Linked DNA regions of Xenopus tropicalis. The protein of the gene in region 2 purifies or fractionates together with the protein of the main gene of each other region. This does not show direct contact. Links are inferred from orthologs where the notes say so. Each region holds a gene or a part of one and is shown on either strand. Other genes may lie near its edges.

Region 1 (16,530 bases), about 31 Mb from region 2:
ATTCCATGCATCTACGGTCGCCACCTGTCTGGACAGCCCAGTTTATTATAGGGCTGTCTGGGTCAAAACTGCCTGCCCGGTTTTTCCAATGTGGAAAATCGAGCAGGATACCCCAAGATTGACGTGACTGTCTACCCCAAGTTCTGCACCGTCAGTTGTCACAAGGCGTTAGCACAGAACTTGTCAGAAATAACAAACTTGGCCTTCATTACTAACACACACAGTTATAGATTAAAAAAAAATATATATATATATATATATTTTAAGAGTTTTCTACAGTAAAATACTTGGCAGTTGTTTTGGCGTGAAGGGTAGGAGAGTGAGGGCAGGGTTATAATGCAAAAGGGGAGGAAAAATTACAGGGTGGTGCCAGATGGATTGGGCGCAATGAAGCAGAAATGTGGTGAGTTGGGCTGACAGATAATGGGGCAGAAGTTGAGAGGGACAACTTAAAGGCAGGGGTTGGGGGTGGACAGAATGACAAACAATTGCAAATTTATCAGAAAATTCATAGCCAGTAAATTTGTAATACCAGCCTCAGCCATGGCTGGTATTTTACCTTCAAGGCCAGCGAAATAACAGCCAGGCAGAAACCCTGTTTTCATGGGTAGATTTTTATTAGGACTTTGGAAGGCTAATTCTACCCAAACCTGCCTGAAAAAAAAAAAAAAAAAGATTCTCTGACCTGTTGTGCTTTGGCAGGGGGAGCATTTCCAAAAGATAAGCAGCCTGCTCACTACATCTCTCTAAGCCTGATGCTACATTGGGCTGATTCTCAGCCTGCAGAAAAATATGGGCCGAGAATCAGTCTCTATGTTGGCATCAGCCTTGCCTGCACTGCAACCATCATGTTGGTCTGGATGTAGGCACACATGGTGGATATCAGAAAAGCAGAGATGCCAACATGAAACATACATTAATATCCACCATGAGCTACTGAAAGAAAAGCAAGCTGAAGGTTTGAAAATGACCCTCACAGTCCCCTGAATATAAATTTGTACATTAAGGAGACAGAAATACTATACTTTATTATGATACTTTTAATGCAATACAGATACAGACATAGAAAAGCTATGTCACAATCACAGCTATATAGGTTTAAGAGAATAGTGCAGTGCATGCACAGCATGGAGTACAGCAGACGCACTTATACAGACATTTACCCCCGTCATTTGCTTCATCTAGTGTACTGAGTGTAATTACATCCATGGAACATCCATGGGGAAGCACAAGAATATAGTAGTCGCAATATCTCTGTTTCTCTCTCTCTCTGTTTCTCTCTCTCCTGCCGCCTCACAACAGGGAATCCAAGATGGCACCAATAAATCTAAAGCGGAGAGCCAATCTAGCTCACAGGCCTCTTTCTCTCATGCATCTAGGTTCATATGGTGGAACTGCATGTCTCAGGAGGAAGTTTATCACCCCTCTTTAGCAGATCCTGCAGGCAACTTTGTGCAACTTCAGAAAGCCAAAGCAATGCGTAGGCCTTTTCACCAGTGATTGGTATTGTTGCTGGTAGAAAGTCATTTCGGAGTGTTTTTTTTGCCGGTGACTAATTATTGCAGGTGACTAACGCTCTCTGTGGGCCATCAGCCTATCAGTACAGTACATGACAAGCTAACAGAGAATATGACTGATTCTATCTGCACAGCCCTTAAATATATAAGCGCCATCATCAATGCAATGGGAGAATGAACTTATAAATTAGAGACTCCATTAGATGATCGTATCTTGAGGCATAATATACTGGAAGACAGTAATTTTAGCCTACAGGAGGAAGTAGCATGTCTCATGACTTATCCAGAGGAAATGGAGAATAGGTCATAGTACCAAAACGAAAAAGAATTAAGGGCAAACCAGAGGAAGTTGCCCCCCATAATATGAGACTATTTTTGTACTCTCTTTTCTCTACCATCAATCCAGATCTCTCATCTGAGGCCTGGCGGTTTGATCATGCATCTAGAGCACTTGCACCTCTGATACCTGGCTCTGCTAAACTTAGAGATGTTGTGGTGTGTCTACATTACTATAAAAGCAAGAAGTGTATTTCTAATAAAACTTGCAATACCCCCCACATTGAACACCAAGGCCATAAACTTCAGATATTTAATAATATCTCTCCTATCACACTGAAAAAGAGGAGTGACCTGTTACCAAGACATTACACTTTCACTATACAGCATACCGATGGGGTTTCCCCTTCAAACTAATTGCTACAAAAGGAAACAAGCAGTACATACTTCCGTATCTAGACGACAGCCTTCAATTTCTCAAAGACCTTGGGATTCCACCATCAAATCACACACAAGATCCATTGACCAGCGATTCTAGACATTAAGATACGTAGACATCTCGGAGGCTCACCGTCCAAAACAACTTTATCTCCAACCTCACAAACATGAATCCCTATGACCAGTATTGCCTTTATTATGCATCTGAACCCATGACTTTATACATGGTTTATCCCGGTGACTTGGGTGCTTTGTGACTACTGATTCTAGTTCTCCACCTATGTCTGAATGCTCCAGAAGCCTCCTGGACGCTTCCCAGGTAGGCTGTGGATGGCCTCATTTAACCTTGCGGCATACATTTATAGGTCACTATTTCACAGAGACCATAAAACGCTTTGGGAAGACAATGAAAAAGCCTGATGTTGACTCAGATGGAAGTACTATGAAAGTGGAGACAAGCCACATACTTTGACCAGGAACAGGTGGCCCAATACACCCTTGATATTCCCCTCCTGTATATTACGGTCAGTTCTAGATGATCCCCAAATCCCCCAGGCTTGTCTCCAAAAAACCTTTTTCGAATGTATGATTTTGTCAACCCATGAACTAATAATCAACACACCTTTACTGAACTCCAAAAAAATATGTTCCTCAAAGCTGGAATTATGAATATATCCAAATCTCCCATTTTATCAAGAACACTTTTACAAAGCTAGCTTCACCCAAATTATTAACCCTTTTCAAAATACTGTATAACTGGGCTCCCTATATGGGTTCTAATATAAAATATTTACTCTCAGGAACTCTAGGGCATACCCTAAGCACAAATATGTGCTATTTTGGGAAAGAGAGCTCTCATCTAAAATAAGAATTTTGGCTCTTCTAGTTCAGAGAGCACAATTGCACAACCCCCACGACCCATGCCGAAAGTTCCAAATGGCAGGCATCGGGAATGGTATCAGAAAGCCTGCTTCAGGGTAGCCAGAGGTGCAGAATCCCCCCCAACCACTTGTGACAATTTTCCCATCTCTCACTGCAGAGTAAGCAGTAGGAAATTTGCTTTCCCCCCCAAATTGCACCCCCCTCAAGGCACCCTAGGCACCTTGACTACCACGACTTCTGGCCCTGGAGATAAGTATTACTAATTGTAGAAATAAATGTTGAAATCATGGGAAAAATGTATGTTTGGAACCAGTAGGTGTCACTCTTGATTAAAATATTTACATGCTTGACTTTTAAACTCGATTAAGAGTAACGATAAGCAACATTTTTTGCCAGGTTTTGCTGTGAAAAAAACCCTGTAGCCTCCAATGGCTGCAGAAAAAAAAGTGGTCAGTTGACTTCAATGTGTTTTGCAAAATATTGCTGTTTTACAAATTTGTCAGTGAAGGGAAGTGGGTCAGATTTGCTCATCACTAATAAAAAGCCTATATGGCTTGAAACATTGCTGCTTGTGTCCACATTGCTGCGTGTGCTTTAATAAAGGTACTCTATTTAAACTGATTGGAAATACATTGAATACACTACACTCTCTGGTAAGCACTTCAAGAATAAAAGTTGTCATGTTGGCATCTCATCCCATTGCAGACCTTGCTTACATAAGGCAACCACCCAACCAAGTACTAGGCTATCAAGCAACAGAAAGAGAGCCACATTTTTGGACGAAATTAATAAATGCACATGTAGGCAGTTATGTAAAGAGGGAGACCATCCCCAGGATTTAAATCAAACATAAATAGAGTTTCTATGCAAAATCAGGGGTCACCCAAGACCACCTCTCCTCTATAGTAATGCCACTGTCAAAGACCTTGGTTGTCAAAGTGCCCACTGAGGAGTGCTAGAATGAAAACACTGCATAAATAATAGCAGCTGCAGGATACAAAAACAGGCTCATATGATTAAGCCTCTAGTAATAATGGTCATAGGTTGAAAACCTACTGAAACATGTGAATTAGAGCACTAGTACTGAGGAAAGTGGGGGGGGGGGTGCCCCAAATGCATGCGCCTTTGTTTTCTGCTTCACAGTAACTGATGTAGAAATTTCTGTGTGCCTTATATATCATTAGAGATCATGTGCAGTGCTCTTATCTCTATGAAAACCAGCAGCACAGTATTTGTGGGCCTTTGTTCTCCCCCGCCCAAAGGGGGGTTAGAGCAGCGCAAATCACCCTCTGTTGTTGCATGCTCGTTGAGTTACTTGCAGCTGCAAGCATACAGTAGGCCAACCCTCAAATAACCTTTTGGGGCCCCATGCCCAGAAGAGTTAGTGAATAAATGCTGAGGCTAGGAGAAAGGTTGGCAAACAGACATAATTGTGGAGAGTTGATAAAAATGACAGCGGATGGACAAAATGTGAGGGACTGAGGGAACTGAGAAGCATGAATAATGGTAGTGTGGGTAAATAATAGGGGTAAGAGCAGGCTTTAAAGCAAGATGGTGGTGGGTGGCAAAATTGCATAGCAGATTAAATGGCAATCCCACACAGAGGGCGGGTACCACAAAATGTAGTGTCGATAGTGAAAGGGGGGACTTAGAAGCCATGATTGCCAAACAAAATAAGAGTGCAGTAAGGAGGGATTAGAAGCACACACCTTTGATGAGTGGAACAGTTGTGGAAAGATGGGTGGTGTTAGTAGTGGTATGGCTGAGCTGCAGATTCTAGTCCTTTACACCGATTTGGTAGCTTATCTGCCCTACCGATACCAGACCAAAAACTGGCTAGGTGTCAATCAGGCAGGTTTGATTTTTTATTTGGATTGGAAATTGCATTGGCTCATTGATTCGGCCCTTGCTCCGACAGCTCATATCTCCATTGTTAAATTCAATCGTTTTGCTCTTTGCATATCGAGCAAAGATGCGCTCGTTTGGTGATCTGGCCAAACGAGCAAAGATGCGCTTGTTTGGTGATCTGGCCAAACGAGCAAAGCTTATAAGTCCTTCTGTAATATTTGTACAATCCAACATTATTTTAGTTGTCAGCCACCTAGATTTCATAAATGTAAATTCTGCTTACAAGTAATTTAATTTTATCATTCATGATTATTAAAATTAAGGCTCAGTTCTATTGGGGTGCACCAAACAACAAACCAAAATTTTTTTTTACCAGATGGGGTGTAAAAAGGTGCTGTTTTATGGTTTATTTAAAAAAAAAAACAAAAAAAAAAACAGACTGAAACTTAGATTTACTATTCCTTTAATACACCTATTATTAATGAGTAACCATACGGTAAGCAGTAAAGAATTTAAATGCATCTTAATTTCATTTCTCCATTTTCCTTTCACTGAAAACCATGTGTAATTAGAAAAATCTATAAATATGATGAATGTTTCTTTACTTTTCAATAACCTGATTTTCTCCCATTGGTTATCTAGAGTGACAGCTTCTAAGAAGGCTGCAGCCTAATTTTACTGTTGACTAGTTATGGATACCGCCTCTTCCGGTCACTGAAAAGCAGTGAACTTGGAAAGTTTATTTTCTATGCTTTAGACACTTTGGCCTCAATAATTTCCCAGTTAGTTTGTTTGTGTAAAGCCTACAAAACTGATCAAGTCGTCTCCGCCTTCAGGAAAGACTGAGGTAGATCAATTTGTTTTCCTAATTGCTAACACAACTTTCTTTATCTTGCATAAATCTGTAGTGTTGGAAATAAATTACAAGAAGTTGGCACTGGGGTTGTGGCATACTGTGCAGGTGTTTGTGGTTGATGAAACTGGGGATAGGTCTAGATAAAAACAGCTGGTACCCAAATAGTATCAGCAGAAAGCACCCAAGTCTGCCCATAATGTGTACAGGTCAAACCACAACAATGTCAACTAGGTATTCCATTACACTAAAACACATTTAAGCAGATGTGAATTAGTAGTACGTAGCCATTCAGTCACAGTTTGGGCATTGTCATGTCAGGGAACATACACCATTAAAAGGTCTCACCCTGCAACCCTGTATGAAGAAAGGCCTCTAGTGAAATGCAAGGTGCAAACCCAAAATATAGTTATACTGTTGAAAGTACATAAGGAATTGGGAAAAGAAAAAGAAAAAAGGGAAAACAAAAACACACGGTTAGTCTGAAAAGTACATTTGCCCTGGTGTTGGAATAGTTTTCTGTAGGAGCAATTCAGGAGTAATTCAGTTTAGGCAGAGAACATCCCTTTTTAATGGTGTTATTTCACTGTGCAAGCAGGGTTCTGGCTTTGGTCCCTGTTAAGGAAAGGAAAAGAAATGTTTAGAAGCCTTCACAACTTAAAGTGCTAGCTCAGAATAATGGTATTTACTTACTTTGTATGTGTCACAAACAAGGTTAAAGAGAGAACTTTGAGCTTGTGCTTGAAGATCATCAGTGTGCATCTAATAAGGAAAAAACTATTATTAATTTATGATCACATATTTGTGCTTGAGCCTTACCACCAGTATAATTCCAAATTCCCAGCCCTTTGAATGGTTGAAAGTAGCAGTTGCTTACAGGACATGCTGCCTACATGATCATCTGCAGCAATTACTGGGATTGGATGGAATGGAGAGAGCCCAGTGGAGGGATAAAGCAATTTAAAAAAAAATAAAGAGCTTATCTCAAGAAATGTGTAATTTTGTGTAGGGGCCACTTATGTGATTTATTGCCAGCACCAATCAGGAAGTGTTTTGGTGTGTATGGGGACAGAAAAGACTTCTCAAGATCCAACATGTGTGATTCATCAGCCCATTACATTACAGTAAATATATTTTGAGTTCATAACACCACCAATATTATCATCATAAAAGGCCATAGCAAAATGTATTTTTTCAGTCAGGGAAGCCCCTGTGCTAGCTGTCCCCGCATAAAACTTTTCTTCTATCTACAAAGAAATGTTTGAATGGATTCACATAATGTAAATAACTGCCATTGCCAACTTTAACTGAAATGCACGATACTTCTTTCAGAAATTATTTGAACAAAACAGAATATTACAAATACATTACACACAGTGACCAATTTATCAGTAGTTAGCTAAGACTTGGTAAATCATTACCTATACTTTTGTATTTAATTATATATTTTCCAGAGTGGAAAATCCCAAAGCATTATTTAAGGAATTGTTCACCTTTAAATTAGTTTTTAGTATGATGTAGACATGGATATTCTGAGACAATTTGCAAATGATTTTCATTTTTCGGTTATTTAGTTTTTTGTCCAGCAGCTCTCCAGTTTGGAATTTTAGCAGCTATCTGGTTGCTAGGGTCTTGTTCACCTTAGCAACCAGGCAATGGTTTAAATGAGACTGAAATATGAATAGGAGAGGGACTGAATTGTCAGTCTTTTCTCTCTGCATTTTCATTGCATAACAGATTAATGGTGCAGACAGATTTTAGTGCTCATTGCTGCTGCTGAGCCCTAACACCCCATAAAAACTGCTCAAAGCACCTGAACACAATCTGAGTAACAGATATCTTTACCAACTTTGGTGAATGTATTGATTCCACCTTCAGGTTTACCTTTAGTGTGTTAGGCCTATTCTTAACAACTTGGGCAGTGACCCCAGCAGCCAAGCAAGGCTGCAATTTTATTGTTACTTTTCCTTCTATTTAGCCCTTCCTCTATTCATATTCTGGTCTCTCTTTCAAACTACTGCCCGATTGCTTAAAGGAGAAGGAAAGTCTAATAAAGAGTTGCTCTCAAGCTGCAGGCATACCTTCAGTTCTCTCAATAGTGCCCTTAAGTCTCTCCATATTTCACCTGTTCAGAAGCCAAACAGGAAGAAAAAACACTGAGCTGTTTAAAGAAAGTTCCCATAATGCCTCACTTCTGCACAGAGACCCAGACCGATGTACATGCTCAGTTTGTAAGATTTTGCGGAAGCTTCCTGCTGATTGGCTCAGATCCACATTCCTAAGGGGGGGAAGTGAGTTCTTAGCATTCTTGAGGGAGGGGGAAGCAGGAGAGGGGAGAGGGGAGAGAGGAGAGAGCTATCTGTCTCTGGCAGAGGAAAACAGACACAACAAATCTTTTGACAGGAAGTCAGTTCAGCGTTTCTGCGAGTGCTTAAGACCAATTGTAAATTGTCTCAGCATAGCACTCACTACATCACACTAAAAGTTATTTTGAAGGTGAACAACCCCTTTAAAAACCAAGTGGGGAAAATTATTAAACTGCTAGGATTTCCTAGTTCAGTTTCTTATAACACCAGTTTCTTAAAAGTTGCTCAAAAAACAAATTGGACATGCTTCTTTTAATGAACCGACATGTACTGTGCCATCACCGACAGGATGTATAATGTACAGTCCTTTTTATGTGATCAGGGCACTACAACATTATCATCGGCAAAGGTACAATTTATAGCTTTCATTTGCTCTTCCAAATCTATTTGGTATATGATGTGATATGGAAACACGGATAGGTAAGCACAAACAGGTTTTTTTGTGACACACTTCCTTGTATGCTGTTGCACAATGCAGGAAAAACTGTGGGAGAAATGATATATTATTTACGGCTTGAAAAAAGGAGTGGATGATTCCGAAACATTATTGTTGCTGCTAGTCTGAACTCTGTCTAACCTGAAATGTGAGTATATAAAGGGAGTGCTGTGCTTCTGTTTGATGGTGTGGATCTCCTCTGCTGGAGAACAAAAGCTATATAATTACCAGAATAAATAGCAAATGGACAGTTGTGACCAGTTCACTCATTATATTCCAAAATGCTTGGTTAGGCGTGTTAATAATGAGCGGGCTCCACACATGGTTTCAACTGCCAGCAATAATTTTTCTTAACAAAATTCACTGTGCTTACAACAAAATAATTGACAACTTGACTATTACGTCCAAATATGTCCATTTTAATCTAGAAATAAAGTATCAATGTCAGTATATGACTTGTGGAAAAGCAAGAAACCTGTACAGTATTTTAAAAAAATATATGCATATCTTAACAGCACAGCCACCTCGATTATGTATGGAAGTTATCACTTACCCCATCAATGACAATCCAGGGCACATAATTGTGAGGAGGACTGAGTCCTTTGGTTTTTTGAGCATTTTCGTGCATAAGCTTGTTCCCCAAATCCCCATTTACACACTCCAATACAGTTTTAAGTGGTAACTCAGGTGCATAAACTGCAAGGCACTGCAAGAAGAGGAAATTAAAATTAAATTAAAATGCATGCAGTTTAACAAACTGGATATCTGCTTCCAGGGAATTACTGGTCTCTTCTAATCAGAATACACATATAAATAATTTTCTTTGTGTAGACCTACAATGTATATAGTTTTATAGTGCTTCACTGAAATAACCTTGGAACGTGGGGAAGGCTAGCCACTCCAGATCAAGCAGGTTTTAGTATCTAGTCTAGGATATGCCGTCATTGGTTGAAAATCTCAACAGAGGATACAGTCCAGTATTTTTCAGTGTATAAATAGATTATATTATTGTTTTATTAATATATATATATATATATATATTTAATTATTATATATTATGTAATAAAAATATAAAATTATTAAAAATCATGTACCTCACACTTCATGTGTACATTAGTTTGCAAGGTTGCACTGAATATTGTGCATGTTTGTTTATCCTTCACTTCACTTTCATTTGTAGCACTAAAAATATACATAATACCTGAATAGACTGCATAGATTAATAGATAAATTAATTTTTAAGCACCCCAACTATGACAAAATTAAAAAAAACTCTAGTGGATATTTAATAATCTTTCATATATAATTTACTATTTTTCTTCTTCACAGTTGTTTATCATGTAAGTTCCTTAATCCAGGAGTTCCCAACCACGGGGCCGTGCAGGGCCAAGGGCTGTGCTGAACCGGTCTGTCTGTGCTGAACCTTGGCCCATTTAATTGCAGTGAAACAAGCTGAGATCTCTCACTAATTTTGTATTATGGTGAGCTGTATTATATTTTATCATGTAATAATATTTATAAAAATAAAGTACATTATAAAATGTAAATAATTACATTTACATTATTTATGTAATAATTAAATTGACCTATTGTAACTGACTGATTTAAAAAAGGAAAGGAAATTTTCAATTCATTACTGACAAACAGCATGGCTGAGCTAGCAGAGGGCAAAAGCACAAAAACAATTTGTAAATAAAAAACAAATTACAACTTTGTGGATTTTATAATAGCAACAGTTCTGCCAATTTCATTTACTACCTTCCCTATCACTGTTTTCTTATAAATCATGCAACAATTATTAAGTATGCCCTGAAGGCATTTATAATGTTTTTCAAAAAGCACTAAGGGGTGCAATAAGGATTCCCTTTGTGCTCATCTAACAAGCACTTATGTGCCTCCCCCTCTTATAATGATAGCAATGATATTCTTCATGCAGATGCAGGTCCTACAGAGATTCTGCAAGGTGGGAAAACAGTGAATCACAGAGCATTGCACCCATTTTTTGCACTTTGCACACTTCTTAGATAGCTATGAATAACACCTAATGTTTCAGACGCAAAGCACATATAAACTGTTTGCATTATGCCAAATGTCTTAGTAAATGCATTTAATACTTACGGATTCCAAAGATTTTGTGATGTTGTTGGAAGACTCCATGCAAAAAATGATTGGAAAATATTTGTATATATCATCAAGAATATGGATAAGACAGGCCTGTGCATCAATAAAAAATTGTTAGATTGTTGGAGTTTTTGCAGTTCTAAAAAGAGTTGGGTACCTACAGCATGCAGTTTAGGTTGGGATCAGGTAGGTAGCAGGTAGAGGGGTGGCTGCAGGCCCAGACTGACAAAACTGTACATTCTGGCAAATGTCAGAGGGGCTGTTGTAAGATGCCATACACACTTACTATTGGTCCTGTGGGGGGCTGTTTGGCCCTCTATGTACTTTAAATACTAGGGCCTGTTTTAAATCTCCAGTTCGGACCTGGTGGCAGGTCCAAGTGGATCTGGTACAGCATCCTAGTCTTACCATGAAATGCCAGCACACCACTCTTTCCCTTCCATGAGCTCTACCTTTATGCTCCCTTTTAACATTGAACACAGACATATAATAACTTGAGTTGTTATAGCTAAGGGTGATAAACAGCCACCAATCCCCACAGGTCCTTTGGGGGATAACAAAATTACAAAGATATCAGAATGGCTGAAAAGAACCCCACATCTTCATCTATAAAACTATCCACAAGACTATGGAGAGTGAAAACATCAAATTACCCCCTACAAGTGACTTATATGGCATACAGTTCTGATATAATGCCAATAAAAGAGAGAGGTAATCCACAGTCACTGGCAGAGTTGAAACAATCCTATTGAGGTGGAAGTCTCTATAGCCTGTGTTATGTTAGGCGAGTGTATAGTATGGGGCATTCCCCTCACCCTTCTAAGAGCAAAGTTTGTGATAGGTAAAAAGGTGTCCTTTTTCAGTGTTATGTTTCAGCTGTCCTAGTGACTGTGGATTACCTCTCTCCTATCTCTTTTATTGGCATTATATCAGAACTGTATGTCATATAAGTCACTTGGGTGATGGTGATTTATTATGTGTATGAAGAAGTTTTATTTTTATTCAAAGTAATCTGACATTTTCACTCTCCATAGTCTTGTGGATATTTTTACAGATAGAGGAAGTGAAAGGAGGAAATAAAACTAAGAACTGAAAATGTATGAATTCACCCTATAGGTGAATTAGTTAAAATCGTTAATGAAATCTTTGGTGTTGAAATATTGATCTTAAGGATGTGATCCAAATTAATTTTATGTGTGATCCAAATTAATTTTATATGAATTGTGGGGTAATAAATAGAGTATTATCTATATGGTGTGTGGTTCTTTTCGGCCATTCTGATATCTTTATAGACATATATTAGCTTTCAAACTGTATTTATAACCAACAGCAAATTACACACATATCCATTACACATCACACAAATAAATGTAAGAATGGTCTCAAACCTCCATCATGTTTCCCAGACATTCCTCAGGTCCATGTTGGCAATCAAAAACCCATTTACCAGTGATGTTTGTTTCCTATTAAATAAAAATGTTCAAATTATGTATAAGCTGAAATTTGTTCGACCTCAGATATATTAAAGTGGACCTGTCACCCAGACATAAAAAGCTGTATAATAAAAGCCCTTTTCAAATTAAATATGAAACCCAAAATCATTTTTTTTATTACCACATCCATACCCATTATAAAAGCATTTTAAAATCCCAGCTGTCAATCATATACTGCCTGCCCCGCCTCTATGCCTTAGGCATAGAGGTGGGGCAGACTGTTACTTTCACTTTCAATTCAGAACTTCTTAGATGTTACTGCACTCCTCACATTCCCCCTCCTTTCGCACCATGTAATTGTGTAACCAGTGCATGGACATGGGCATCAGCCCCCCCCCCATACTGGCACAGAAACAAGATTTTGGCAGGATGCAATGCCTGCTTTGATAACAGTGTCCACAAAATGGCCCCTGCCTGCTTGCTGCAATTGTGAATTCCAAGGCTGAAGAAAATAAGATTAAAATAATTTAAATAGTGTAAGTAAAGTTTATTTTGCTTGACAAACACAATAGAAAACAATTTGAAATTATTTTTTAAGGTGACAGGTCCGCTTTAAATGGTAAGTCTTTCTTCCCAGGCTTTTTTTTAAACCCCACATGTCCTCATAAATTGCTGCCTTTTTTGTTTTAGATCTTTTAATCACTCTTGCTTTGTTGTTTAGCAATAAATGGGATTGTTGCCCCATTCATGTTAAAATAACCTATCAAAGCCTACCTGTGCATTCCCATAAGGAACTAATGTCACATTGATTATTTCAGCGAGCATCAGCCACGATGGAAAAAGTTGCCGGACAAGGAAACCTCTACAACCTCCACAGAGACTTTCATAGAATAAATCTATCTGAATAGCTGGTTCAGAAGACTTCTTCAAATCACGATTAGAGTAGAATTCCAAGCATTGTTTTTCCACCTGGTAAAATAATAAAAATATTTATGTTATGTAAGAAAAAGTACTTAATGCTGGCAATGAATATACAGCAATAGCCTTCAATTCAAGGTCTGAAAAAGAAAACGGCAAATGCCACAGCACCAAATAACAGCTCAAGCGGTGTTTCATTAATATTTGATTGTGCAGTTTTTAAGGGTCTTTAGCCACAATTGTGGCACATAGTGGTTTTGTTAAAAATATCAAGGCGGGTAGAGCAGAAGAGCAGTTAAAAGAGGTAGACTCATAGAAGGACTTGTGAATGTGTTGAAAACATGGAGCCAATTTGCCACTGCCTTATCCCAGCAGCCAATCAGCAATTGCCATTGCCTTAATCCCTGCAACCAATCGGCAGTTAACTCTGACTGTTTTACTGTTAGAATTAAACAAAGAAAATGTTTGAATGTATGCAGTAGGTAACTGCATCACTTAAGTAAATGTTGCTCAGAGTTATTACCAAACAGGGGGAAATTTTGCACTAGTACTGTAACCCATACTACTTAATTGGCAGTTTGTGAACCTTGGCTGCATGGTTCATTAAAGGAAAACTATACCCACAAACAATATTGGTCTCTATAAAAATGTATTGCATAAAACAGCTCATATGTAAATTCTTAACTAAATGATACAAATGCAGAACATAGGCATGTTAGTAATTATGGATAATACCGTTGAAGCATTCCCATATAAGAGATTTTCTATTATAGCTCCTTGCCTGTAATTTTTACTAAACAAAAGATTTTAGTACAAATATATTAAAAACTGCCTGAAAATCACATTTCTTTCTGGCACTGCTCTACTATTTGGTAAATTCTCGCTGCTTAGTATACTATAAATCTCGGAGACTTTTATCACCACTTTTGCTAAATGAGGGCCAAAATCGACAGGTACTGTATTGTTGGCCATATATATATGCTGGGCGGGCCAAATGCTATATATATGCTTTTATTTGGGGCAAACGCCCAAAGCATTTTATATGACAGGTAGTAGATGCTTTGTTGAAACTGCCACCTGAGCTGGCATACATGGCCATGCTCAATAGTTTGTGCTTATTGAACTATTTAATGCATTAGTTATCACTATACTTGATTAAAGCCTATTTCATCAGACATAATATTGGAATAATAACAGCACATTTAGTAACACAGCACATGCTTTATATCCAACCTGAAAACAAGGCTAAAAAATGATACCAACCCTCTCTCACTGATATGTACTGGCTCTGCCTGAATGCAAACCATGTAAAACATAATCAAAAATGGGTTAAGTTTGAACTATTCCTTGAAAACCTGTTCATCTTAATTGGGTAGTTAAGGCACAAATCATTACTTCTCGGTATATTAGAAATAAATTAGTGTTTTTTCTGTTGCATGAGAAAATGGCTAAGCATAAAAAAAGGAATATGGCAACTTCTCTTAATCAAGGCAAGGGCAGGAAATCAAAAGAAATAGATTTCAATGGCATTTGAGAAAGCCGTTTGTATCTATAAGCAATCCCAAAGGCTTACACCCAGTCCAGTGTTTAGATCTAACAGTTTATTAACAGCATAAGAGAAGAATGGAAGCACAAACACAATAGATTTATTTCTTGTGGTGGGTACATAACGTGAGGGCTTGATGAAGAATGGTAATATTTTAATAGTGGATTCATCTCAAGAAGAGGAGGCACCAGGAATATAAAACTGATGTGTATTGTAAATGGATGAGTGGACATACAGGAATTTAAAGGGGACCTGTCACCCTATGAAATAATTCCAGATTGTTTTCAATTGTGTTTGTCAAGCAAAATAAACTTCACTTACACCATATAAATGAGTTTAATCTTATTTTCTTCAGCCTTGAAATTCACAGTTGCAGCATGCAGGCAGGGGCCATTTTGTGGACACTGTTATTAAGGCATGCATCCTGTCAGAATCTTATTTCTGTGCCAGTATGGGGGGACCTGATACCCATATCCATGCACTGGTTACAAAATTAGATTGTGAGGAGGGAGGGGGAATGTGAGGAGTGCAGCAACATCTAAGACGTTCTGAATTGAAAGTGAAAGTATCTGTCTGCCCCACCCCTATGCCTAAGGCATAGAGGGGGGACAGGCAATATATGATTGGGTATGGATGTGTTAATAAAAACAAAAAAATGAGTTTCATGGGTTCATATTTAATTTGAAACGGGCTTTTATTATACAGCTTTTTATGCCTGGGTGAAAGGTCCACTTTAAGAGGACCTGGTCAGCTGGGGATTTAATTGGCTCCAGCACTGGGGGGGGGGGGGGGGGGGATGTGTTTAGAGATACATTTTATAATGCCATAACAAAAATGGAAATTTGAACAGTTTCGTATAAATGTGTCTTTACTAATTACATAATTGTTTATACAAATTATACAAATATCTGGGAAGCCAGTACGGTTATATGCACTTCAAGTCCATGGTTCTGTTTTTTTATCTTTTTTTTTTTACAGTACACAGATGATCATAACAAATTAGAATTGCTTGCTTTGTGGACTCCATTGGAAGCTAGCTATATAATCTACAGATCAATATGTACTAAGTACAGGTATGGGATCCCTTATCTGGAAACCCGTTATCCAGAAAGCTTGTCTCCTATAGACTCCATTTTAATCAAATAATTCAGAATTTTAAAACTGATTTCCTTTTTCTCTGTAATCATAAAACAGTACCTTGTACTTGACCCCAACTAAGATATAAATAATCTTTATTAGATGCAAAACCATCCTATTGGGTTTAAATAATGTTGTATTGATTTTTTAGTAGACTTAAGGTATGGAGATCTAAATTACGGAAAGACCCCTTATCCGGAATACCCTTGGTCCCGAGCATTCTGGATAACAGGTCCTATACCTGTACTAATAAGGAAAGTTGCAAACATTTTTTTTTTGTAAAATCAAGAAAGGATACTTGCTAATAGAACAATGGAACACTTGCACAGTTTCCTTTAAGGAAATATACTTTAATACCTCCGGCTTGAAGAAAAGAATAAAGTGAGAATTCAGTCCCCTTTATGGAGTTATTTTCCTTTGTAAAAAAAAACACACAGAAGCCACTTGTTTAGAAAGCACTTGTATTTACCCTTATGATATGAACAACTATGTCAAGTTTCCAGGATTTTTAGCACTAGGGAAATGGTACTTGCAATGCCAAACTCTACGCTATTTAATTATAAATTTAAAAACAGAGACCTAAGAACACACTGAGGTTTTCCAAAGCCGCCTGAAATTTCCTTGCGAGGCAATTTCTGAAAACTGAAGCGATGCATATGACATCCCACTGGCAATTTACATTTTTGAAAATAGACAATGCTGATCATTTACTGATAATTGTCTCTACGTGTGTTAGCAGAGGTAATTCTCAGTATTATC
Region 2 (16,478 bases):
CCCCCCTCAAGTCACTAATTGGTTACTGAAATATACATATTTCTGCTGCTAACTTACTAGGACAGTCAGTATGTCAGTTTTTATTGTGGCAGCACTGAAATTGTAGGTATGTGTAAAGAAAAATGGAGAGAGAGTTTATGAGGCTGGTTTCCATATAAATAGTGAACAGGAAGGAGATTGTGGCGATAGTGCTTGGTCTTAGTTGTAAACCTCAGACACCTGCTGTTCCAATAAAAGCAGCAGGGAAAACCAGCCTAGCAGAAATCCAGGTGCTGGGACACTTAGGATATTTTACTGGGGAAATGAAACTTTAAAACAAAGATGTTCTGTTACAAGTGCAACCTTGGGAAAGTTAACAGTTATTTATTAGTACATGTGCAAAGGATGCGTTTCATGTGTGACCGTAGCGCAAAGAGTATACCTGTTAAACAGAATTAGAACTTCTCTGTTTTTATTCTATGGTATCAATATAATAATTTAAAACCCAATTATTACACGCTCATTTAGAATCACTCTTACCACCTGGTCATGAGCTGTTGTCATTCTGCTATGTCCCTAATGTGTGGACACCGGTTCCTTTGTCCTTTAGTCTACTGAGAAGCCTAAGCATTGTCACTGGTCTGTGTTTACAGCAATCTGTGTCTGGCCTCATCATATTGATGTAATATGTAAAATAAATTGGTTTAAAGGCAGGCCTTCTGTAATTGGTGGGCCTGCAAAATGACACTTGCCTGTGAAGGGCATTTAGGGGAAATAACCCCATCAGACCAGCTCATTAGTTTTATAATTCTCTGTGGCTATATGAGCAACTGTGACTGATACCCACTCAGTATAAATTCAGCTGGAGAGAGGAATAACCAATTAAAATGAAAATAATTAATATGTCATTCTGATAAGTAATATCAGCATAATAAGCACAAAGTGGGTTTAGCATGGCAGTCTGTGACATGAAAAAAACTGTTCACTAACCCATCTGCCATTTTTAATAAGAACTGTGGAAAAGCCAAGCCCCCATATGTCATAAAACACAAGGGGCAGATTTATTATCCGGTGTAAAAAAGGCAACAAAATTACCATGTTATCGCCAGTCTTTGCGTCAAATCTGGTGTTCCAATGTTGTAAAATAAAACATACCTTGATAAATGCACCATTTATTTAACACAGCTATTTACAACATTTTTTTCAGTACATTTTGTTTTATGCAGCATAATAAATAGCCCCTAAGTTTGCCTAGGGTAGCAGTTATCCATAGAAACCAATAAGATTGCTTTTGCACAAGTGAACAGTAAATGCTATGTACTGATTGGCTACTATAAATTACTGTAACTGTAAACTTAGTTGTTTTATTACATAATGCCAGAAGTCCCAAAATGTTTGGGATTTGCCAGAAGATACAGGCTGTAAGAAAACTGCTGCACAGGGCTTTCTAGCAGCCAACAGGGCTCCACTCAGCCACTTGTGCTGGATTTTTTACATGGTGCAATGTTTAAAGCGGTGCGACTGCCCCAGATAAAAGTGTTTTGTGCATGAGCATTAAGGGGTGCAATTTTGGCACATGAAGCAATCATAAATGACTCCTACAATGTTTAACGTCCCTACAACTAATATTTGGAACCATAAAAACACAAATCCAGTTTGACACATACACTGTAGCTAAAATTAAGTTACCTACATTCTGGAAATGAAAAATGTTATTTAACATGCAGAGCACAGACTAAGCTCCATAACTCCGTCTCTGCTGTATTTAGCACATAGATGATGGGATTAATAAGCACCTTAGAGTGCGTTATCAGCATGACCGTTCAAAAACATCATGAAAATTATCAATAATAATTTTCTTCGCATTTAAAGATAATTTTCTTTTGTCTTCATGCAGCCATTCATTCTATTACATATTTCCTTTTATATGTGCCATTATCTGTCACTCACCTTGTTAGTTATATCCAAATTACATCTTGCCTCACACAGTGCCATTACAATAGGAAGATTCCCATCTTTGCAGGCAACATGCAGAGGTGTGTTACCATGGCGATCCTGGAAGTCTACAAAGCATCCATGGATGATGAGCGTTTTCACTACTTCCATCTGACACCGTCTCACTGCAAGGTGGAGTGCTATGTGCCCATCCTGCAAGGGCAGAGGAAGCCAATCAGCTTTATGCAACATTCATTCTTATAGGGGAACTATATCTGGGAAGCCTTTAACAGCATTCCTGACTATAAAAGTCTTTTGATAACGTAAATGACAGATAGACAGGCAAGTAAAATTATTTCCTTCTGCCTCTATTTATTTAGATAAAATCATGCTGGCACTTTATTCACATCTCACTAATATCAGCAAAGTAACAATGAAGGATAACAGGTTACTGGCTACAGTGTTTAAGGAGGCAGAGAGATTTCAATAACATAAAGGGTGTCTGTCATTTCTAATGCCATGAGTCATTCATCCATTGCTCACCTTGTCTGTTGCATCAAGGTCGCCTCCATGGTCAACCAAGCATTCCACAATATCGTGGTACCCTCTTGCTGCTGCTGTCAGAATGGGTGTTTCCCCTTCCCTGTTGCGAATGTTGACATTGCAGCCAGCCTGGCACAGAGCTTTTGCCACTGGGTAGTAACCATGCCAAGCAGCACAATGCAGAGGGGTTTCTTCCTCCTGCAAACCAATAATTCTTTATAAGAGCACAACTGTTCTTGTAATTAGTATTTTTTAGAAGTCATCTAGATCCAAATGTTGAGCAGAATTTTAAATGTATAGTACTCTAAATCTGTGGAACATGTGATTCCTTTTGGGATTCCAAATTCCTTTCCAGTTTAGTAATCACTGTGCCATCTGCAGAACCCTGCAATATTTCACTTATATTGCAGACAGAGGCAACCCTGATTAACTGTCTCATTGCTAGGTTGCGTTTGAATCTGTTTTTATTGCTACCTAGCTAATCAGGTCTTGAAAGTCTTACTATCATAGGGGCAACTGATCACAAACATTCTGCACCTATTTTTTTTAATGTACAGAAGTACTGGCAGAAAGGTCCCCCCTTTTTGACTAAATAGGATGTTCTTTATAGCAGCTTTTAGAACCAGCAAGAAAGCACAAATCAATACACCATACCTTATCCTGGATGTCTGGATGTGATCCAATGCTGCACAAGTATTGAATAACTTCAGCATGTCCATAACGGGCCGCCACGTGAAGTGCTGTTTCTCCTGACTAGAAGCACATAGGTGTTACTTACGCACAAAGGAACCATACTGTAAATCAGGGCTGTCCAACTAATGGTCTGTGGACCAGATGTGTCCCCCTAAAGGATTTTATGGCCCCCCGTCTTCACAATATGACTCCACAGACTTCACAATATGATATCACTATTTTTAATCTGGCCCTCCAACATGCCGTATGAGCTAAAATTGGCCCACAAAATGTAATAAGTTGGACAGCACTGCTGTAAATCATTAAACTGGTATGCCCAATAGACTTTAAGGCACTAAAAGTAGGGCAAAACTAAATCTGTGTGAATTATGTGCCCACAGAGAAAATCTAGAAACTGCAACTAAGTATTTCACATATTACCTGCATTTATTAGATATTACCAGCCCACAAATAGGGCAACATACTGACTGCATGTTTATCATTTCAGATGGTATATTTACCTAGTATTTGGGTATTCAAATACATTTTACAGAATGAAACCATATCTCTAGCTCCCTCTTAAACACAAATTCCTTGAAAAAGAATAGAAACTAGATTTGTTAATAAAGATTTAATTCTTACAAAAATGGCATAGTAGTTACCAGTCCTGGGGTTATAAAACTGTAGATGGTATGGGAATGCTAGATATGATAAGCTACATGCACTGCATGTAGTTATTCGCCAGTGTAGTCAGTCTGCACAGTTGCCCTATTGTCCACATGAATTAGACACAGGGAAAAGTGGTAAACTACAGGCCCACGGGCCACATGATGCCATATTATCATAAAGGCATCACAAGGCCCATGACTAGGGTGGCAGCTTTAGGTGGGATGGCCCTTGGGTATCTATATGATGAAGAAAAAAAAAAAAACCCCTCCAAAAACAACCAACTAGAGCTGAATACTTGCTGCTAAATCCAGTGGTAGAGCTGAGGGGGAGGGTTACCTAGGTGTTAGTTTTGTAATCCAACCCCTTCTATCCACCTATAGCCCCTGCAGCCCTCCTTCTATACAAAACCTTACCTTATCTTTAATATCTAAAGGACAGTTATTCTGATGTAGAAATTTCAGAGTCTCAACGTGACCATGACGAGAAGCCCAGTAAATTGCATTGGACCCAGCCTACACACAAAGAGTGACAATTAACAACAGGATATATTACATCATATAAAAGAATCTTTTTACATAAGCTGTTATAACTTTTATGTTTCTCTTTGTCTCTGGCTGGTTCATAAAAGTGAACCTATTCAACAGCTGATGGTATTCTACCCAAATATTACTCAGAGGGTAATACACACCTTATCTTGTACATCAATCTGTGCGCCACGCTTTATGAGCAGTTCAAGGATCTGAATATTCCCACAGCCAGCAGCAATTAACAAGGGAGGGGTGCCATGCTGAAAAATACAGACATAATAAAAAGGATACACAGAATGAATGGCTTCATTATCATCTCCCATTCTCCTTTCATTAACAAGAAAGAGTAAGAATATTCTGCTTATATTGTAGTGTTTCTGATGAACAGCACACTGTCGGGCAGATTTACTAAAACTAACTTTTCTCGTTTTTTTTTTTTTTTTATATTAAAATTTGAATAAACTCATTTCCTTTGAATGTCTGACATTTACTAAAATGTCTGAACTGAAAAAGTCAGTGCGGCAAAAAGTTGCAGACTATGACGTTTTCGAACTGTTGCGCCAAAACCTCTACTTTTTCGTACTGCTGCACAAAAAACCAGGATCAAAAATCCAAAAACCTCTAAAGTTTCAAAGCAAAGAAAGATCCATCAGGAAAGGAAAGGGATGCCTGCCAATGAATTCTACCTGATCTCTGCAAGTTTTTGCTGCTTAATTGTTGGACTTGGATTTTTAGCCATATGACTCATAGTAAATCTTTAAAAAGCTGTGACTTTTTTTTCTGCAACTTTACAATCTCAAAAAAAAAAATAAAAAAATCAGAACATTAGTGAATTGCTCCCTGTAAGGGAGTATAGTATACTAACTATACTCCACTATGCAAACATTTCCTATTAAACAGTAGAGAAAATCTACCAGAGAACTTCCTATATCCAGAATTTACAATTATTTCCTTTTCACTAAAATAATTTGTCCTGGAAATCTAATGTCTCCTCTGCTTCTTAATATCTTGGGTCCTGTCACAATATGGAAGCTTTTTCCATATATTGGACTTTTCCTATAGGGATATTTATGCTTGAATAACCTCTGCTGCTCTAGTAAGTGGAACTGCATGTTTCTGACATCCATAGCTGTTAATTGATTAAATTTGTTGCTCTGCTTTTATGCCAAACTGAAAGGCTTATGACATCATCGATATATATTTTAATTAAACTCTCTACGATGAAAAGAAAATCCTGCACACCACCTTTGTAACTTGTGATTTATTATGCTTCTTGCTGGATTAATTATGTGAAATGAATAACGTGCTGTTCAGTTTTGAGGCTCGGAAGAAAGTGAGGGATGCCAACACATCACTTCTTTGTCCGAGTCGTACGGTGAAAAATGGCAAGTCAGCCGCTGAGAGCAGCACAGATGGGAAAACCCAAGCTTGTGTTAATGATCTGCTGCGCAGAGGGATTCTCAATGTGTCAGGGCAATACAGTTGAAAGAATGAGACAATAAAACCCACGAAGGAGTTACTGACTGCTGTGTTACAAATACCAAGGGGCGATAGAAACAGGAAGTAATTGTGCATGCAATATTAACCCACACTTAGCTGGACTGGTCATATTTCATACCGGTGCATTTCTAATTACAGCTCCATATGCAGCATTACCTTGTTTGGCTGGTTCACATCATAGTTTGACAAAGACCCAAAAAGATGCTGCAAACCAGGAACGTTATCGTCATTTATGGCATGAATGATGGCTTTCATTACAAAAGAGTCCTCCTCATCCTGCAACCAACAAAAAAGGCACATTATAATAGCAGTTACTTTCCAAGAAACAAAGCCTGTAGGTATATTTTGTGGAACTTATAAAAACATATTGGTACAGGTAACTTGTGTCAAGGCATGACCTACCATTTTCACTAAAAGGAATGCTGTTGGAGGATATTTACTCTGTGGTAGTGCTTGGGAGATATATGTTCAAACCCTCTCAACCAAGAGTTTATAGAGCTATCAATTCATGAAACCTGTCATTTTTTCATCACCTGCTTTCACAAGTGTAACCCTTTTTGTTTAGCAAATGTCAGAATGTTCCATTGTGCTTTTTTTTTTTTATTCCTGTCAGTCTGATCATATCCTGGAAGTCATTCAGAAGCACCCCAGACAATTCAGCTGTCTTCTCTATGAGATGAGGCTATATAGGGACAGCAAGGAAGCAGCCAAAGAAAGCAGTTTGTTCTGGTCACTTAAGCTTAATACAATGACGTTGCTTTTTAGTGTTGTGGGAACAGCTAGCCTGACGCACAGCTGCGGTTTAGGTTCTGGTTTCTATGCTTTGAAATTTTTCAAGAAATAATTAGAAACACACAAAAGTTTAACAGTTTAACCTGAAGCTAAATGCATGTTTGTATTACTGAATGCCGAGCTTAAATTCACTTGGCCACATTTTGAATAGGTTCCAGTTTGAACACATTTTTTATTTTGACTACTTCATTCTTCTACACTAGTCTTCTGTTTGCTCTTTTTTTGTAAATATTGTTCATGTGTCTTTGTCGTTTTATTTGCGGTGTGTGACCAACGTGCACCCATCTTTATGTGCTTGTAGTACAGATATGGGAGGAAGGGCTGATTACAGGTACAAGTGTAGTAGACAAATTGGAAAACAATGCACCTTATCAGTTACTGTCACAAATCCAGACACTAGTGAAGGGCTGCCTATACTCTGAACAAAGTAAAACCAATGTAAGAAACTATTGTTGGAAATATTGGGGTTGTTAAAAAGTATTTTGTTAGACTGTCTTTTTAAACCATATAAAATAAATCTCTTATTCTTGTGCACTAGAATTTTATGGGCTTATTTATCAATTTTCGAGTTTGTCTTTCAAAATCAAATAAACTTGCATATCGAATGCTCGCTTATTTATTAATAAGGAAAACTCATTTGAATAAAAAACGCAAATAATTAGAATTTTTCGAGTTTACAAACTCAAAAAAGTCGAGTTTGAAAATATGGCTTGACTCTGCCTAGAATGAAATTCCCATTGACTACTATAGAAACTCGCAATCTTTTAGATGGCTATTTTTTCCATTTGAGTTTTTTGCACTTAATAAATATGAGACATTCGAGTTTCCGAAACATAACTTGAAATTGAGGATTTTTAGCACAGGCCAATTAGGGTAATGGTGTTTGCTACAAGATACACCTCAAATCCCAGCTAATAAAAGTTCAGTAAGGACTGAGATTAGGGGGCACATTCATGAAATCACAAGTTTGAATCCCGAATGGGAAAAATTCAGATTGGATATGATAATTTCTTAAGATTGCAAATATCACGAAAATGCTTACGAAAAAAACGTAATAGTCACAATAATATCGTATCGGCGATCCGAAATTTTCGTACCGAACGATTGCAAACAGCGGGAAAACCTTTCCGACTTTGATCCTTCTGTGCACGATTTTGGAAGCCTCCCATAGGAATCAATGGCACTCTGCAGCTCCAACCTGGCCCAAGGAAAGTCACGATAACGAAGCTTGAATGAATCCGAAACTTTCGCAAAGTACGAAAAAGTCGCGCAAGGTACGGAAAAGTTTCGGAAAATACGCTCGGCGCGTTCGTGGATTAGTAAATGTGGCCCTTGGTGTGAACTCTTATCAGATGCCACAGATATTATTGGAACTATGACTGAAGTGCTAATACTGCAGTGCTTTCCTAGTAACCTATTTATGAGCTACGGGGCCTCCTGAACAAAGGGGATCGGGGACTTAAACCGAAAATGTATGACAGCTACTGCTATAAAAGGTGTGAGATTTTCAGTTTTCAGTTGTTCCTAAAACAATATTCCATTGGTTTGTATGTGTCTTGAAGTTTTAGGACGACTGCAGATATCAAGGAACCCCTTGCATTTAGCTTTCCTTTCTAATAAGCATTAAAACATAGCACGTGCAAGCTGTTACCTGTTATTCATAATGGAAAGGCTATAACACTGATCTCCTCACACTCCATCTGCGGGCAACTTAAAAAGGCTCATTTTCCTGCCAACCAGAAATTGAGCCAGATGCCAGATGCTCAAAATTATATTTATTCTTCTTTGTAAATTTAACACATGCCACACTCTAGTCCATTACTGCAACAGCACATTCAAGGTGTGATTACCTTCTCCGGAAATGGCTTGAACCTTGCATGTGAAGTATGCAGAGTATCTCAGCATTCAAAGGTTAATACATCCACATTGGTTCTTTTTGCTGCCTTTCTGCTATTGGATGTGGGGTTTCATCAAGATAATGGTGCTAGGTTTGTGGAGTTTGCATGTTCTCATAGAGTGAGTTTTATCTCGGTACTCCTTTTTCCTCCCACAATTAGGCAGAAACTAACTGTATACAACATATAAAAATAATACATTCCATATACATTAAAGAGAGGTGTCTATTTTAATTAGCAAACTTCAAAGTTCTGACTCTTCCCTGCTTTGTGCAGCCACATTAGGAATGATCTTCTATATATTTGCATAAAAATAAATACCCATAGAACCCTGCATATAAGTGCACGGCCTTGGAGAAAACAGGACTCTATAAATGCCAAACACACACATTCTGCTATTTTGCTTCTGTCCTGCAGTGCTTAGTAGAACATTATCCATGCCACAACCTCATGCCTGTCAGTGCTTAGAGGCAGTTTATGGGCCAGACCACATGTCAGATGGCATAACATTCTCCAGTCCCAGCATGGTTCTGTATTGTCTGTGTTCTGTCTGCAGAAGGAGATTACATGCACTTGACAGCATGTAATCAGTGTCAAAGAAGCTTTGTACTGCAACATGGAAAATGCTATTTATGTCAGAAGGGAAGCGGTCAAATAACGAAGTGTGTTTAATTACAGTCTTTCCGGGTAAATTCATGGCACCTTCTTTGTTTAAAGTAGTTGCTCATTTCTATGCATTACCCACATTACAATTAGCAAAAAAGGGTTGTTTTGCTGTATAATTGGTGCATTTTTTTTACAGAAAAAACATGTATAGCAACCTAAAGAGCCATCTGGCAAGGTATATTTTATATGCTACACCAAATAATATAAATAAAGTGATGCCATAATTACTGTGCAACTATAGGAAACTGAGGTAGAACATGTATAAAATTCTGCCCATTTAGCACTGACCCAACTGTACGACTACAACTTCCAGCTACCAGTGACAGCTAGAGAGCTGCATAACACACTGCTATAAGAAGTTACCTGTATGAAAACATCAAGCCGCATATTAACTCATCATTAACCTCAAACACAGAACATTTTTTTAACATAATAAGTTAACCACAAACTACCACTTAAGTAAAATAATTAAGTTAAAGGAAAAAAATGATGCTTCTATGCATTTAAAGTGACATACAAACAAATTATGAAACACTTCCTGTATTGCTAAGCAGCAGGCTTATTTCTTTCTTTATACCTATAATGGAATTCCTAGAGATGAATGATATCAACATCTTAAAGCAGAATTCATTTGAGACTACATAGATGGATCAACTGAAGAGGATTCAGCATAAATGCTAACACTGCTTAAAAACTTGCTGGTTGCATATTTGCATATTTGTCTCTTTGCTCTGCTAAACTCAATGCCCATAAATGTCAAGGCAACCCTTTACAAAGGATAATGGCTTTATTATGTGTTACTGTTGCAGAACAGGTGCTTTCTAACTGAATAAAGCCCTGCTATTATTTCCTTATATGATTTATGTCCTACAGGTTTAGTAGAGAGCAAGCCAGGAAGTTTGTTATTTATAAAATGCGCAGAATCTGTAGGCAAACAGTGGAACCTAAGCTGTTATTAACTTACCAGTGTGTCATCACTCCTAGCAATACTCATGTTGCTCCTGGACAAGAAGGATCTTGACAGTCTTTGGCACAGGGATATCAAACGGACAGATTGCTTTAAAAAAAAAAAAAAAAACAGAATAGATTTTGCTAGTCATTTCTCATCAATTACAAAACACAAATAAGAAAAGCTTCAATGCTTTTTTCCCAAAAGAAATGGCTATTTCTGTTTTTAACAAAACAGGCGAAAAAAAAAGAAACTCCCTGATATATAGGTAAAGATTCAAGGAAAACATAATTTGCTTTTTGCAATATACAAGCTTTGCAAAATCCCACTTTGTACCAATGCCTGGTGCATGTAATAAAACTTCTCACTTGAAAAAAGTTGCAAGCCCTAGAGAATATGTAATGTGTGCTGTTAAAGTCAAAATGAGATAGTTGTGTATTAAACAATAATAAATAATAATAAATAATAACAATAATAAATAAACACTGCAAACTGCATATTTCCATTCATAATTTTTATTATGATTGTGATCTAAAGAACAAGGAAATGGAACATACTTTCTGCATTTTATCGCCTCCTCATGGTGCCCTCCTGAACCACTGTATAAAAATAATAGTTCTGCCCCTGAATTCCAACCAGAAAATGTAGAGACTGAAGTTCTAGAAGTGATGTAGCCAAGATGTCAATCACCAAGAACACTATAGATCTATGCATTCTCTGGCTGTGATTCAGGCCCAGACTGGCAATCTGTCGATTCTGGTAAATGCTGCTGGGCTGCTGTAAAATGTCATAGAAAGTCACTATTTTGTGGGCTGGTGTGGGAAAGCGTGGGCCTCTGTGTACTTGAAATGCCAGGGCCTGTTTTTTATCCCAGGTCATACCTGCTGTAAAAGATGGGCATAATAGCAAAAATTATGTTCACAAAGGGACCAACAGGGAATGTAATAAAGCACATAATTTTTATGAAGTTACATATTTTGTTATGCGCTTAATACAATAAGCATGTTTAGTCCTGTGGTGTGGAACACTGTGCATGCTCCATACCTAGGGTGTATAAGTGAGCAGGGAGGGAACATCATTAAAGTGAGGCTGTTGTAAAGTGGTCTTTATATATATAATAAAGGGACATTTACTGGAATCATTATCAGTCTGTTTGGAAGGAAAGCAGAAAAAACCGAATGCATTATATATAGTTTTCCTAGCCACTGAAAAAAAGTCAGTATTGAGCTTTAGGTTTCCTTGCCTTTTTATACAACCCCCAGTATTTCTATGCTATTTGTTGCAAATGTCTACATTACCAATCCAATATAAACAACAATGAAATGTACAATCTTAGATCTCAAGTGGCAAATAAGTGGCTAAGTACCTTTGCAGTTTTGCAATACCTTGAAATAAATGCTAATATGCACAAGCTGTAAGAGCTGTTTGCACAAAGGTAAAAGTGTTTGCATTTGGCTAATTCTTTAATAGAATGGCTTTTATTATATTCCACAATAATGGTTTTAGGTAGCTAGATGCTATATTTAAAGTGATCACCCCTGTACTGTTTTATGTAACTAACTGAGAGGGAAAAAAAGATAGTGGTTTGTAGAGTGTTCCATCTAAAGGTGGCCACACACGTGGCGATTTGCAATCTTTAGTGCGACCATCGGTCACACAAAAGATGGTACAATCAGCCACAAACTGTTCAGGGCTGAAACGGCAGATAAGGAGGTAGAAACAACAGGATTTCTACCTCCTTCTGCCAATTCAGCGCTGAAGGCAGATTTTGTTCAGGCACCTTCTATGGCGCCCGATCAAAATCCTTTAACCGGCCCGATCGGCAAGTCGACCGATATCAGCAGCTTCCTGTGATATCGGTCGACTTGCCATACACGCACCGAATATCGTACGAAACGAGGTTTCGTACGATATTATCGGTGCGTGTATGGCCAGCTTTAGGTTAAGGCTAATGCCCCACAAAGAGTTAAGTTACTCGTGATAAATTTCTACCGCGGGCAACTAGTCTCTCTGAAATGCCTTTCCACAAGCAGCAAAGTGAATCACAGATGGAAAGGCATATGCATTGCTTCATTTTCTGAAGTTGCCTGCCGGAAGAAACTTTGCACGACTTTGGAAGAACGAAATTACGCGTATGTCTTTCCAATGGCGATTCACTTTGTTGCTGGTGAAAAGGCATTTTGGAGGGATCAGTTGCCAGCTGCAGCAGAGATTTATTTCTGGCAATTAATCTCCCTATGGGACATTAGCCTAATGTTTTTCTTTTATGTTTAAATTACCGTTGCGTGCACAGATGCAGTGTTATTCTTTGTATTCTATATATAAATATACATTATACAAAATAATTTATAAACAATAAATCATATTGTATAAAATAAAAGCAGAAGCAAACTATGTTTTTCTGGTGCCTGCTGTTTCCACTGTGTATTGCAATAAAAGCAACTCTCACAACAATGGGCATTCTACCTACGGAGCACTTCGAAGAATACACTTACTTTCCATTTTCTGCGAGCAGCAAACTTCTTAAACTTCTCCATATTGACTGCAGAGGCTTTCCTGCTCAGCGCTTGCTGAGTATCTTTTGGCTGAAACAAGTTCACAGACAATTAGAAGAAATTAACTCGGGGGTGGGTGTTTTGCAAAGGTGCAAAAAAAACAAAACAAAAAAAAGCTGCATTCATAAGGGAAATAATACCATTCTGTGGGTACTATTGTAAATACTTGCAAGGAAAGCAGCAAGACCTCTACCACAGTGGAGGACTTTAAATGGAATGAAAGGTTTGCAATTTATGAATTTTATTTTCTCACTGCTCAGTTCACAAATGGGGCAACTGGGAAAGGAATCTAGGGCAGTTATTGCCATGAGCTATGATTTAATATGGAGCTTCAGGGGCCCAGGTAAACAAAATAAGTGTCAGGGATTTTCCAGTTTGTTAATATAAAATCCACCTGGAAAATCCCTTCATGATTAGATACACAGCTTTTAAAGATGTGGATTTTTTATGAACTGCCTACGTACTGGCGAAGAAAATGGTGCAATAATGCAACAGACCATAGAGTAAATACAGTTACACTGCAATTTAAAAGAAGCCACAATAATATATATACCAGTATATAAAATTAACAAAAGTGCATTATGCAGTGCCATATATCCTTATGCTGGTCTCTTTTACATCACAGAGTAAAAAGAGAAATGCGGCTCTTTTAATAACAAACATCATAAAATGAAACTATAAACCTATAAACAGATGATAAATGGCAATAAGACAAAATGAGAAAGAAATAACTAACTTGGACATATACTTTCTTTTGGAGAAAGCAAATCACCCTACGATCTTCAGGAAGAAGAGTAGGTCATTCTCCATTAACATAACAGAGTAGGGCCACATTACTAGACTAAACTAAGTATTAGTCCACCAGCTATATAATTTTACCTTTACGTAAAGTTTTTAAGATTTGGGAAGAAACTGACAAGCCAGCCTGGGACAAGCTTGCATCATTCTGTTTTGTTATATATTAAGAAACAGGGAGGGTTTGTTCTGTGTCCATAAACAGACCCAGGGGCCTTTGAGGGCCAAATTGGCATAAATAATTCAATATTTCACCATAGAAGATGTGAAAAACCCCAGAGGTAGCACTAATGCTTATAGTGGAAAAGTGAGAGGCAAAGTACACATACCAGGGGTGTCACTGTGCTTTAACTGAAAATAATACTACATTTATGCACTGTAGATTTTATAGATTTTGGTTAGTTCAGGCCCACTGTTTAGTCTTGCACTTCACTATATAAAATGTCATGTTCCTCTAAAACCATTTTTATAAAAATCAATAATATTTATCAAAATAAAAAAATCCAGTTCACCGCATGCAGAAAAATATTAATACTGTACTGGAGCTACAGGCCAGTAGCAGCCAGCAGAGGGTATTTTTAATACAGAACCTGGATTGGGCTATATACTGCACTGATTTCCACAGAACTAAAAATGCACATTATTTTAAACAAATAAAATACATAAGAACTGTACCTTAATCCAAGGGTGGTACAAACTGTCTTGAATGGTCATCCTTTTTCTTTTTAGGAAAATGAAAACATTGAGTTAATTATTGGGTGTATTACTGGTTTCATTTATTATTATCTATATACAATACTGTCATTGTTTCCTAAGTGTTACACAGGAAGTCAGTGCAAACAGCACAACACTAACAGGTGTACAAATTATTATTTAGGTCTCATTTGTTCCCTTTAAACCTATGGCACATGATTTTAGTCCCTTTGGCACCCGCATCTTTACCAGGTCTGGACACGGTAATGTTTTTATAGAGAACATTTGAATATATATATATATATATATATATATATATATATATATATATATATTATATATTATATATATATATATATATATATATATATATATATATATATATATATATATATATAGACAAAATAAACAAAGGGTTAAGGTTTCTTCCTTTCTCTCAAGCAGTTCTGTCCCAGATTACAGCTAAGATTCTAACTATATTTAGAACAATGCATTCAGAACAGATCCTATCTGAAACCCAATGTTTACAATACTGAGCATTAGCAGGGTTCATTAGCAGAGCAACTCAGAAAAAAACACTGAGCAAGGCAAAGGAAATGACACAATTATTTTCCAGCCATTGCAAGTGGCTGCAAGAGATTTAAATGCTAAAATATCTCCACAGAGTTCAACCACTGCAAATACCTTACAAACAGTGTTCCCTGGATCTGAAGCAACACTGCAGACTGTCCTGCTTTCAAGTGCCAGTTCTAGATCACTGCATACCTACCAACATTTGAAAAATGCAAAGAGGGACAAAAAAATATGCGCATGACAAACATTTTTTGACCACGCCCATCTTTGTGACCACAACACTTAAATACCACTCCCATTTTACAAAATTTGGCAGGTTATTTAAAGTTTGAACACATTTCTGGGGGTTTTGGGGTCTTGTTTTATGTGTTATTACAGTTTTGCTAAAAAAGGTGAAATTTCCCATTAAGCTGCAATCTCAGTTCCCCCAAGAGACCTATTTATCTTATACAACTGTATCTAAGTGCAGGTGTCACTTGTTAACTTTCTGTGCTCTCTGCCAAAAGCTACTTTTTAATTAAGTTTAGAGTTCAGTGCAGGAGATCAATAGAGGCAGGTACAAAATGCTTAGAAAGGTATTTGCAGTTTATTTACCATATCAGTGATAAAAATATTAACTACCAATATAATGCACATTGCCTATTGTTTTATAGTGATTTGTTCTACTGCTCATATCATCCGATGCAATTTCTATTTTGTATAGTAACAATACTGAGTAAAAACTTACTGCTGGTGAAGTTATTGGAACTTATGTGGCTGATTAGCCAATAAAATATATATGCAGGTTGGGTAATATTAAATGAAGATGCCATACAAAAATGTTTGGAGCAAATGTGCAACCTGTCGGCCACAAAAAATGGCATGTCCTATGGGCCCCCAGCGGCAAAATCTAGCCAAACATGTTTAATGAGCCCATTTCCACTAAGTTTAATATTCTTTTTAGCACAACACACTAAACTAACTAACTAACTATAATAGTTATACATCCTGCCCTTCTCCTATCAGATGAACACAGGGACATATTGTGCTTCCAGCATTTGTACCCATTTATAAATTGCTTAAAGAACATTAATGCTTTATGAGAAAAAAATATAATAAATAATAAAAGCAAATGCACAGCAGGCAAGAAGCATTACATTTCATGGAAAGAATTATTGACTTAAAACAAATAGCACCACTGCAATAGTGCTTTATTTATTGTGTTTAGAAGGTAAATAGGATTATAAAAAGTATATAATCTACGTTTAAATGAGCAGATTTTCACACTATTTTAACAGAAATATCAAAGTGGTGCAAATTTTAGAAAATAAAGTGAATTTGACCAAGTATACAGAGCTGTCATTATAGGATACTTGCCGTATATCCAAATATACGTGTAGGCAAATATAATATCACTATAGTAATAGCAAAAGAAATACAGGTATGGGATCCGTTATCTGGAAACCTGTTATCTAAAAAGCTTTGAATTGCAGGAAGGCCCATCTGCCATGGGCTCCATAATAATATAATTCACATTTTTAAAAATAATTTCCTTTTTCTCAGTAACAATAAAACAGTATCTTGTATTTAATCCTAACTAAGATATAATTAATCCTTATTCAAGGCTAAAAAATCTTAATTGGTTTAAGATATAAAGGTCCAAATTACAGAAAGATCCCTTATCTGGATAACTGGTCCCATTCCTGTCCTATAATATGGGCTTAGTTATTCATGTCAAGAAAGATTTAAGAAAAAA

Evidence for each region.
Region 1: the proteins of dapk1 (region 2) and ifi30 purify together in Homo sapiens (affinity purification with mass spectrometry; 3 studies listed by BioGRID and IntAct, counting the BioPlex papers as one, with this or other methods). This does not show direct contact. The link is inferred for Xenopus tropicalis from reciprocal best matches to the Homo sapiens genes DAPK1 and IFI30.

Annotation. Positions count from the first base shown.
Region 1 is NC_030677.2:103,918,717-103,935,246, forward strand, and holds the end of ifi30 (gamma-interferon-inducible lysosomal thiol reductase), read right to left. Parts: intron 13,140-16,530; coding exon 12,945-13,139; intron 12,201-12,944; coding exon 12,126-12,200; intron 10,831-12,125; coding exon 10,735-10,830; intron 9,323-10,734; coding exon 9,170-9,322; intron 6,577-9,169; coding exon 6,508-6,576; intron 6,430-6,507; coding exon 6,358-6,429; 3' UTR 5,408-6,357; downstream 1-5,407. UniProt on the Homo sapiens protein: Lysosomal thiol reductase that can reduce protein disulfide bonds. May facilitate the complete unfolding of proteins destined for lysosomal degradation. Plays an important role in antigen processing.
Region 2 is NC_030677.2:135,327,618-135,344,095, reverse strand, and holds part of dapk1 (death-associated protein kinase 1), read right to left. Parts: intron 14,199-16,478; coding exon 14,153-14,198; intron 12,713-14,152; coding exon 12,623-12,712; intron 10,236-12,622; coding exon 10,143-10,235; intron 6,102-10,142; coding exon 5,982-6,101; intron 4,586-5,981; coding exon 4,487-4,585; intron 4,311-4,486; coding exon 4,212-4,310; intron 3,211-4,211; coding exon 3,112-3,210; intron 2,656-3,111; coding exon 2,458-2,655; intron 2,128-2,457; coding exon 1,930-2,127; intron 1-1,929. UniProt on the Homo sapiens protein: Calcium/calmodulin-dependent serine/threonine kinase involved in multiple cellular signaling pathways that trigger cell survival, apoptosis, and autophagy.